Caenorhabditis elegans: one gene and its partner. The protein of the gene in region 2 purifies or fractionates together with the protein of the main gene of each other region. This does not show direct contact. Each region holds a gene or a part of one and is shown on either strand. Other genes may lie near its edges.

Region 1 (5,046 bases), on a different chromosome or scaffold from region 2:
AAAGTTACTATATTTTCAACTTTTCATATAAACTTACGGTTTTTTAGCATTCCTCGCTAATCCACTTCTTCTGGCAGCAGCGCTTGATGTTGTAGGTGTATTCACCAATGCATCACCTCCTTCTTCCTGACCATTTCCATCTTCTTCATCAACTTCTTCAATCATTGGCTGAGTTTTGACACCATTCATAGCATCATATTGCATTTTGCACTCATTCGGTCGACGATTCATTCCTTCCGAAATGGAAACCCAATCAAGTGTCGGTGATGAGTTAATTAATGTCACAAGTTTTGTCTTTTCATCATCCGTCCAACCAACTTGTCCCTCATAGTTCAAGAGTTCTGCCATTATTGTTTCCTCTTTGTTGTTCACCTGAAAATATTTATTGTTTTTGTTGCTTTTCATATTTTTATTTTCACATTTTAATTTCTCATATCAACGGTGACAGGTACCGTGTTCTCTTTCCCAACCATAAAAGAGCCCATTCTCTCATGGGACTTTACAAATATAATTTTCGACCAACAAAATCGCCTTTATCACTGAGAATGCCGTGCATAGAATATACAACACTTCCTGGTTTAATAGAGTAGGATCGTTCAATTCTGAAGCTTGCTTATTCTCAGCACACTCCTTTCAAGAGATGAATGTGTCAGAATATAAATGAGAAAGATCAATCTCGAGCAAAGCACAATGTTTGGGTTTGAAGAGGGCCCAAAAGTAATAGATTGTCATTCTTGAACAAAACATTTCTAAAAATTTTTTAATCATTAACGTTTTATAAACTGTTGTACCTCAGAATAAATATGTGGAGTTGCTAATTTTCATTTCAAAGTGAAAATTTTAGTCTTACAATAATTGTTATTGGTTTTCAGTGGACTTTAAGCGTACTAGATATCAGTCTCAATACACCGAAAACTGATAAAAATTTCTAGGTTTTTTTTTCAATCGATGTTCCTTTTGCAATTTGACGTATTTAATCGAATTAAAAAAGATACCGGAAGAAAAGCGCGAAAATTTGTCGAAAAATATAATTTTAAAAATTCCCGATAGTAAAAAAATGATAAAACAGAGTGAACGAATATGTTTTATTTTTTATTCGAATGCAAATCAGTCACGAATCACACATGATACTGTACTTTTATGATCTCCCTATTATCCGAAAATAAATGTATGTGCATGAGAGAGAGAGTGTCGTATCAAAAAAGAGGACCACCGCATTCACCCTTTCCAAGTAATTGCATGTTCCTCCGATTATGAGCTCTCACTTTACGACCCTACATCTTGCTCTTTACTACTACATATTTCCTAATCCACAAAGGATGTATTGGTTAAAAGATACAAGAAATCGGGAAATCGTTTTTACAGTACAATTCAGACCCCTCGTTGATAACTTTTTCGGATGTCATATGGTTGTTTTTCAGAATAGTAGATATCCCCGTTTTAACAACTCACATCATTAATCCACCGAGTCAAGGCATTCTTGCATGGAGTACAAAATTTGACAGCAACACGTGTCGATCCGAGTTTATCCATGATGAATGCACGCGTTCTGACTGGAAAGTCGGCGAAATCTAGAGGAATATTCCTATTGACTCGATTTGCTCGTTTCTTCTGATTTGAGCATCGATTACCAAAGCACCGACTGAAAATTATGGTAATTCTAATTATGTTTCAAAGATTTCTACAACTTACTTGTCTTTATATAGTTTTGCAGCTTCTTCACGACAACCCGAACAAACAACTCGATCTTCATCAGGACAGATAGCTGAAATATATATTTATAGATACACACTTCTGACTTCTCAAATTTTTTATTGTAGGGTTGAAAAATGTATTCCTATTTTATTTTTTTCAGATACAAATTTTCACATCGCCTAGAACAAAACGAATCAGAAATTGCAGGGTTCTGCGTCGTTTTCTCTACGTCTGTGAAAAGGTGGAATTCGTCTCAAAAGGGGATATAAAGGGAGATTGAAGATTTTGAAATACAAATTTGAACATTATACTTACCAAAAATTTCATAAGCCTCTTTTGGCATAAATGTTCCATTAAGATCGATTCCGTTGACTGTACGACAGCAAAAATAACACATTAGAGAGTTTTTGGGAAATGAAGAAAAATCCAAAGGAGGCATCATTCGAAAGTATGCAAGCTCTTCAACCGATGGAAATGCTCCAACTTTATATTTTGTGACTCGTTTCTTAGGTTTGAAGTCCTTCTTGTAGTCTTCGGTTTTCTTGTTCATATAGTAAAAAAGCACAAGATCCGATGCGGTTTTATCAACAAAAAACTCGGTTAGTCCATGGAAAATCTTCACATGATCTGCTTGTCGACTCTTAAACAATGATCTCTCTTCAGGGCTCCATTCTTCAAGACGATCCAACACTGATTGTCGATGTTCTTTCTTCATATCTTTCAGAATTGAACCGGGTCGTTCCACAAATTCATCCATTTTTCGTTCACTCTCTGTGAGAAGTCGTGGGATTTTTGCAACACCTAGCCGAATTTTCTTGTCGGCGTGCTCTTTTGCCAGCATACTCTTCTCATCTTCACCGCGGATTCGTTCAGCACGAGCCCATCGTTCTCGATCCTCCCGTTCTCTTTTCAGCTCTGGGAATTCAGATTCTGCTTGAACACGATGAAACTCTGCGTATTCTCTGTAAAAAATGAAATTTAAAACCTAACTTTCTCGGAGAAATTGCTTAAAACTCACTTTCTTTCTGAAGTTTCTTCCCATTTTTGAAGATCATCTTGAAAGGCTTTGAACTTCTCATCATATTCACGGGCGAGCTCTTTGAAGCTGAAAAAAATTGGTTATTTATTAAGTTTTATTAAGTATTAATTAATTAAGAATGAAGTTGGAGTATCGAGAATGGAAATGTTTGTCGTTTTGAAAAATCACATTTTTTAAAACTTGGATATTTAATTCTTTCTGGAGTTTTTAGAAAAATTGGTATTTCTGAATTTTAGACTGAAAAAAAAAATTTTTGAAATAATAAACACAATTGAAGCTACCCCAAGATTTTCCAACTTTAAATTATACAAACCTTTCCATGATTTCTTTGTATCTCTTCGCAGTCTAGTGTCGTCTTTCCCACCGTCCCGATGAAATACAAAGACGACTTTCGACCGGAAGAGCAATTTTCTGATTATTCAATGGTCGTTTTACACCTCTGATATCCTATTCCCTCCTTCCACTTGTGATTATGTGATAAGAGGAATAAAACCTGAAAATCAATAAATAAGAGAAAAGAAAATTTTCAGAACATAGAAAAACATAAACTAAACGAAAAATAAACGGAAGTCAAGCATAAAAAACATAATCCAAAAGTAGGAGGATTAGCTTGGTTTTCATTTAAAGGTTAACATGATTCTAATTGGTATTAAGTGTTTCGAGAATATGAAAAATGACAAATAACTAAATGAAAATTTTAGTTTTCCAAAATTGTTCTTAAAGTCTATTTTTTTCGAAAGTCTCTTCAAAAAATGTTTTAGACTTCTTTTGGCCTACACTGGACAGAGAACACTCCATTTTTCAGAAAATTACCTTATTTTAAGAATAGTTTTACTTCGCGTAAGGCAAAATAGAACTTGAATGTTTGGTTTCTAGAGCATCTAGTTGTGAGCAACATCATAGTATCGCAAATATTGGATTTAAAAAAGAAAATAGAGTACTTCGAAAATGACAGATTAGCCTAGTTAGTATTTTAACAACTAATCAATTTTCTCATAACTTTCTTAAATGAGTTGTGAGAGCAATGATCCAAAAAATGAGACTGAAAAGCGGAAGACAAAAAATAAATCTAGATTCTAATGTCCCCCTTTGCTCTCTTCATCTATTGCTACGCGAACTACATTCCTTATTGCATATTCGTCATTGTCATCAACATCATCAGAATAAAAGAAGAAAATAAAGAAAATAAGAACACGAAAATAGTGAAATAAATGAAGAAAAGGAACATTGCAGATGTTATGAGAAAGAAAGACAAACAACCGAGAAAGTGAAAGAGATAGATAGGAGATTGGATTGAGAGTATAAAAGTTCAGGTGAACTTAATTAGCAGTCGGGGCAAAAACGGGGAAAAAGTAAGCACGGACACTTCCAGGAAGTTTGGATTAATGGAAACGTGCGCTCATATTTTTTTTCTAGTTATTTTCTAGTAACAAACCCATGAGCAATTATCAGAACAAAACGTGTTTTGTTGCGAAAAAGCTGGAAATTCAGAGCAATGGACGCGAATAAAATTTCAAAGAATATCAGAAATTAAATAATAGGAAACGTATCTGGTGACTGCAATATCGTTTTTGGCGAATAACAATTCTTAAAAGATGAATAGAAGTTAGAGATTGGTTGTTTTAAAAATAAGTACACTTATAATTGTGGAAAATAGGGTCTATCAACTTCGACTTGATACTTAAAAAAAAATTGTGAAGGTAAAAGTTGTTTGGAAAAATGAGAAAATAAATATGAATCTTGTCCCATAGTATGTATACCTACGAATTTTACTAAAACTGCAAAAGATTAACAAAGAAGGAAAAATTAAAAGACTATCTTTTATTGAACTATCGTATTTTTCATTTCCAGTAAGAAAGATAAATCCGTATTTATATTCAACAATATATATAATTTAGGATATTTAGTGACATCTAAAAGGGCAACAGCTGCATAAAAAAACCCGGCTTCTCAGGCAGAATAACATAATATTAATAGGAACGTGAAAACTAAAACATCAAATAGACACGGAAATGAGCAAAAGATGAGAAGCTGCAAAAAAGATATGAAAATGAGGAGAAGATGATCGGATGTCTCTCATTTTTTGCTCACACTCATACGGATTGATGCAGATGAAAGTGCCAAAAATGAATGAGAACGACAAGAATGAATCCATCCGATTTTCATCTAACACCTCTCTCTCTCTTTCCATTTTCCTCTCTCCTCTTCCGATAATCAACTTTTTCTTTTTCAGCATCATCAATTGCATTGCTGGCAGAAAAGTGGAAAAACAGAAAACATCGGGTGCAAGCGCGTGAAGTCCAGTGAAATTC
Region 2 (5,585 bases):
AATGCCTAAATAATATTTAAAATGGAAATTCTCAGTGGGAAGTTCGCGCCTATCATTATGCTGGTGAAGGACTTTCAAAATGGTGCTCAGGATTCGCTTCGAGGACTACTCGACAGTATTTTGATTACAAAAATCGGCGAATCGATGTGACGTTCGACTGCAACTCCAAAAATGGTTTTTTGCTAGTAGTATTAGTATTAAAATTATTTTAAAAATTTTCCAGTTTTTCCTCCTCTTCGAACAATCATCGGCGCCGTTCTAACTGGAATGTTCTTCATCGCGACGCTTTTGGTTTTCAGATTGTTTTCAGCAAGATTGTAGGATTTTTTTCAGAAAATATCTGTTAAAATGTTCATATTTTTCAGTCAAATTCGTAGTGGTGCTACCATGGATGCAAAAGAAACACCGATTTCCTTCGAAGAATCGTTTTTGGAAATAATCGAAAAATGGGATTCTGCAAATATCGATTCCGGTTTTGAATAACTCACATATGTACTTATTTGTGTGTGTAATTTTTATTGATTTTTGTTAACTAATATGTACATTTCCCATTTATTCACTTTTATTCTCACTAGTGAGAGAACTCGAATTATTAAATATTTACGAGTCCATTATATCTTCTATAACTCGCATTACAAGATCCTTTGGCAATTTCGCTACTTTCGGAGCCACGAGAAGTAGATGCAAATCCTTTTGCATTCTCTGCTGACGTTCGAGAACATCAATAATTTGAATTAATTGGGCGAAATGCGGGGGACCATCAGACCGGCTTCGGAGACAATAATTAAAAAGAGCATCTGCATATTTTACTCGCTCCAGTGAGATGATTTCCTGGGATTTGGCGGAGAGATCGGGGACGGCTGGAAAATTCCCTTTCCCCTTTAAATGTTGCGATTTCTGAAGCTCTACTACGGTACCAGGTACACGAGATAAAATATTCAAACGATTTTTAATTCGTTATTTTTTAATTTTCGTAAAAAAAGGTTTCTAAAAAAGGATCGATAAAATTGCGAACAAACAAGGAAATATTACAAAACCCTAAAATTGTGAGAATGCGTATTGCGCAACATATTTGACGCACAAAATATCTCGTAGCGAAAACTACAGAAATACTTTAGAAGACTTGTCGATTTACGGGCTCGATTTTTGAAAAGCAACAAATGGAGGCCCCACGAAAAGGGGAGCAGAACGAAAAGGGGATCTGCAAAAAGGGGATCTGCGAAAAGGGGAGATACGAAAAGGGGAGATACGAAAAGGGGAGCAACGAAAAGGGGAGCTGGCACTGTGCCAAACGCACAAAACGCAATTTTTCTCACGCAACGCACGTTGTTTTTTGAAATTTTCTTCTAGAAGATACGCTTAACAACACGCGATGCGTAACATCGGAGCATCGTTGTATCGTTTTCTTCGAGAAAAATAGCGTTTGGCACAGTGCCAGATCCCCTTTTCGTATCTCCCCTTTTTGCAGATCCCCTTTTCGTTCTGCTCCCCTTTTCGTGGGGCCTCAACAAATGAGTCGAGCCCGTAAATCGACAAAAGTGCTACAGTAGTCATCTAAAGTATTGCTGTAGTTTTCACTACGAAATATTTTGTGCGTCAAATATGTTGCGCAATACGCATTCTCAGAGTTTTATGTTCCCGTAATATAAAAAAATACTTTTTTGCAGCTTATCCCAAAAACCTTCGGTCGTGTCGAGACCGTATTATTGCATCGCAAAATAATTACCTGGATTACATAATACAATGGCTTTCAGTAACAAATATTCAATATTTTTAATTTGACAACGGATCAACGGTGCAACAGACATCACAGAAGCCGAATAATGGGTATCGCTGAAAATATTCAAGATTTTTTTTTCAGAATTAACTATTCGCTGCAAAAGTAATTGTACACTTCTCCTCGAGCAGTACGCGTAAAGCCAGGACTCACTTGAAAGTCATGGGTTCCGATCCGTCAGGCTCAATGATAACCTCTAAATTCCTTCTAATCGATGAGTACGAGATATGAAGGTTCGTACAAGCCAATGCCACGTGCCTAGTTAGAATCAGCTTGTCTCGAGAGCTGAGTCGATGAAAGAACATGAACGTTTTGGCGTATTCGACAGTTGTCAGTAAATTGTAGAAGAACCATTGTTTTCTGAACAATAGAACAAATTTCGTGTGAAAGTGGTGAATTTCCAGTTCAACTTACATGTTTTGACTGTGTTGTGAGTCTCTCGGTTTCCCTGGGGATGGTGGTTTCGGTAGTCTTGGCGGACCTAGCTGATCCCTTCGAAGAGGCCATCCGGGCATAGGCTGAAATTTGAACAGGATTGAAGAATATGCATAAATCATTTTCAACTTACCCCGAATCTATCGCCAAATCCGATCCTACACTCCGACTCCAGCAGGTACTCCAGCCCGCTGAACTCATTCCAATGCGGGTTATACGCGGATTTTCGAAATCTTTCAACTTTTGTCTCCAAGTAAACCAGCATGTCGGTTATGTTTTGCATTTTGCTTTCTATAGAATCGACTGGTTTTACAATTTGCATTTTATTAACAACAGCCGTCACTTGACAGTCATCATCCGGCTCTAGATCCTGCGCTCGTTTCACTAGTTTCTTAAAGTTTGACGACGACGCTGCTTTCTCATCAACTTCCATTGCAAGGGGGTTCATTCCGACAGATATGCATTTTTGATGGCGGCATGCACGGCATTTTAGAGGCACTTCTGAAAATGTAGATCAACTAAGTTTTTATAAGAGCTGGAAAGGACTTGGGTTCGGTAATTAGACAAAATAGTATGTTTCGTACTTCAACCAGTATTGTTTTGCTAGTAGCTAATTTAACTGAACACGTGGTGTCCAAGTGTCTCATTTCGGCTTGATCTACGTAGATCTACAAAAAATGCGGGAGATGAGACGCAGAGTTCTCAACTGATTTCGTATGGTTAAGTACGTGCTGACGTAACATATTTTTGAGCAAAAAAATTGTCGCATTTTTTGTAGATCAAACCGTGATGGGACAGTCTGGCACCGTTGGGCCATAAGCTAGACATGTATCAAAAGTTTCGAAAGATTCGTATGGACATTCCGTATTTTCTAAAAAGGTTTTTGGAAAATCGGCACAGCTCTATTCCTTACTTCGTTTTGTTAAATCAAAACAATCTCCTTTTGCTTTACATTCGAAACTCCGATCTGACACGCACATTCTTCGGAAAAACGTCTTGCATCCATTGCACGATGCCACGTCATAGTGATGACCATTTGCTGAGTTTCCACAAATCAGGCATTCAGTTGGGCGTTGGGGTTTTGTTGATTTTACAGCAGTAGGCGACGGCTCGTCTTCAGGTTCGTCAGCAGAGAAAGTTGAAAGAATCTAAATGTTAGTTTTTTTATTGTCAAAAATATTGGTCTAAAATGAAACAACTTACGCTTGGAAGATCTAGGGAATCTTGGCTTATTGAAGAACTGGATTGAATCATATGGACCTACAAATTCTGGAATTAGATTATTTGGAATAATAGTTATCCTGACAGAAACAAAACAAGTAAGTCACCAGAAATATAGATCAGTGCAAAAATTAGAGAAAATTCTACCTCCAAAAATCCCAAGAACAATTAAAACTTAGCAAACAACTGCTTTCCTGCTTTTGAAAAAAAGAGCCTTGAAATTAGCAGAACATGCAATGGAAAATATTAAATCAAAATAACAAATGAGTCTCGCCAAAATTCATATAAAAAGTTGCATTGTTTCAATGAGGTGTTTATTCAATTTGTGATTGCACACGCCTGACCTTGAAAAGATGGATATCTAGTATGTTTTCGATCAGAGACCGTGTCTAAAAAGTCCTTGTTACGCAGGGGTGGGATAACATCTAGTACTATCGAATTGCGAACGAAGGACACAAGAAAAAAGTAGGTGTAAATGTATCAAGAATTTTCAAAACATTTAGGATTCTGTTTAAATAAAACGTTTTTTGGACTCTTACTTATTGAAATTTTAGTCTTAAACTGTTAAAAAAAATTTTATAACGGGGTATCAGAAATGTGAGCAAAAAGTGATGTCAATTTTCCTAAAGGGATTGGAATTTTAAGCAGGATGCATGAAAAAATTTGTGTGAAAATTTGTGCAAATAATATTCATTCGCATTATATATTTTGTTCATTTTTTGATCAGTTACCCTAGCAAAAAACTTTAAAATTCCAAAAAAAAACATATGTATGTATTTAATATAAAGTCTCATAGAAACATAGCTCTATTATGCTTTAAAAATTAAAAATTAAATCAAAAACATGCAAAAAACCATTGAACCAACGTGCACTTCACTAAAACAATGAAAAAAAAACTGAAAAAGTTGAACCCTCCGATTCCACGTGGGTGTCTGCAGCCGTCTTCGCGTAGTCAGGGAAGTACACAGCAGGGGGAAGAGAAGCAGACAGTGAAAGAACAGGTGTACCTACAAGGAATTCGCAAACATTACATACAAAACGGAAAGGGGGTCAATTGGAAATGGACTGGTGTTGATCAGGGATGAATAATATCGAAATAAATGGCAATTGAACGTCAAATTCGCATCGGTTTTAGTCAATCTCAAATTGAGCACTAAAAGGTATGACTGAAAATCCACTGTTTCTACTTGAACTCAGCGGATGTGAAAACATTATAAAGTTAGTTTACAAATTCTGAAAGAGCACAAAATTTACAACAAAATGGCTACGGGGATTTTTGAAAAAGTTAGTTTGAAGCCAGATTTTAATTTTTAAAAATTGAAAAATCTACTAATTTTACATATAAAGGGTCGGTTTTAGTCAATCTCAAATTGTGCACTAAAAGGCTGCAATGCTTCAAAATGTCGTGGCTCAATGAGGTTTTAAGCATCCGACACAACTCGAGGATCGTGATTAGCATGTTGGGTTCATCGCCAACCTCGATTTGTGTCCGCTGCTGATCACCTCGGTCTGCCTGCCTGCATGCCGGCCCTCTCTCCGTCCACCAGCCTATCTGAATCCCAGTATCAACCTACATAGAGCACAAACCAGAGTAAAGAGCACATTCCTACAAGAATTCGGAAATTACATTTTTTTTGTTTTCCAAACCAAATATTTATAATTTTTTTTTCTGATTCTGAGCAAAGATCTCGAAGAATACTTTGTGTGCATCATGTGATAAACAATCATTTATTCTGTCAAAAAACAGGATGCCTATCGGAAAATAAAGATCTTCTTCAGTGCAGAAGGTGGCCCACGGATTGAGTTAAGAATGAACAGGTACGATATATCTTGACGAGTTTTAGTGACAACTTGAAGCACTGATAGTAGATCTGTGAATCTGGTCGGTCCCGTTTGTTGATAGGTCAATAGGCAGTATTGGAGAAGGGCTGAGGTGTAGATCTTCTGATACGTGGACAGTATGCCTCGGCCACTTTCTGATATCCCAGGAAGGCCTGAAAAATTCATAACATTGCAAAAAAAAAACAGTGACAACATCGCATACAATAGTTTTGTAATTATGTTCATGGGCATCGTTCAGAAAAATACATCACATGTACAAAAAATGTAAGTACGAAATTAACTGCCTACCTGCCTACGATGCTCCCACCTA

The links.
Region 1: the proteins of nhr-60 (region 2) and gei-8 purify together in Caenorhabditis elegans (affinity purification with western blotting, with the first as the bait; one study listed by BioGRID). This does not show direct contact.

The regions. Positions count from the first base shown.
Region 1 is NC_003281.10:8,118,006-8,123,051, forward strand, and holds the start of gei-8 (Nuclear receptor corepressor 1), read right to left. Parts: upstream 3,228-5,046; 5' UTR 3,056-3,227; coding exon 3,048-3,055; intron 2,801-3,047; coding exon 2,714-2,800; intron 2,658-2,713; coding exon 2,011-2,657; intron 1,766-2,010; coding exon 1,693-1,765; intron 1,643-1,692; coding exon 1,453-1,642; intron 373-1,452; coding exon 38-372; intron 1-37. UniProt on the Caenorhabditis elegans protein: Mediates transcriptional repression by certain nuclear receptors. Plays a role in development and neuronal function. May play a role in muscle-specific oxidative mitochondrial metabolism.
Region 2 is NC_003283.11:15,769,761-15,775,345, forward strand, and holds nhr-60 (Nuclear hormone receptor family member nhr-60), read right to left. Parts: upstream 3,482-5,585; 5' UTR 3,467-3,481; coding exon 3,416-3,466; intron 3,361-3,415; coding exon 3,126-3,360; intron 2,714-3,125; coding exon 2,346-2,713; intron 2,296-2,345; coding exon 2,192-2,295; intron 2,138-2,191; coding exon 1,931-2,137; intron 1,834-1,930; coding exon 1,727-1,833; intron 861-1,726; coding exon 601-860; 3' UTR 508-600; downstream 1-507. Other genes in the region: F57A10.4 (Sensor histidine kinase), read left to right, coding at 36-174, 224-317, 366-483; nhr-283 (Nuclear Hormone Receptor family), read right to left, coding at 5,186-5,427. UniProt on the Caenorhabditis elegans protein: Orphan nuclear receptor. Required for embryonic and larval morphogenesis and probably for seam cell positioning and migration.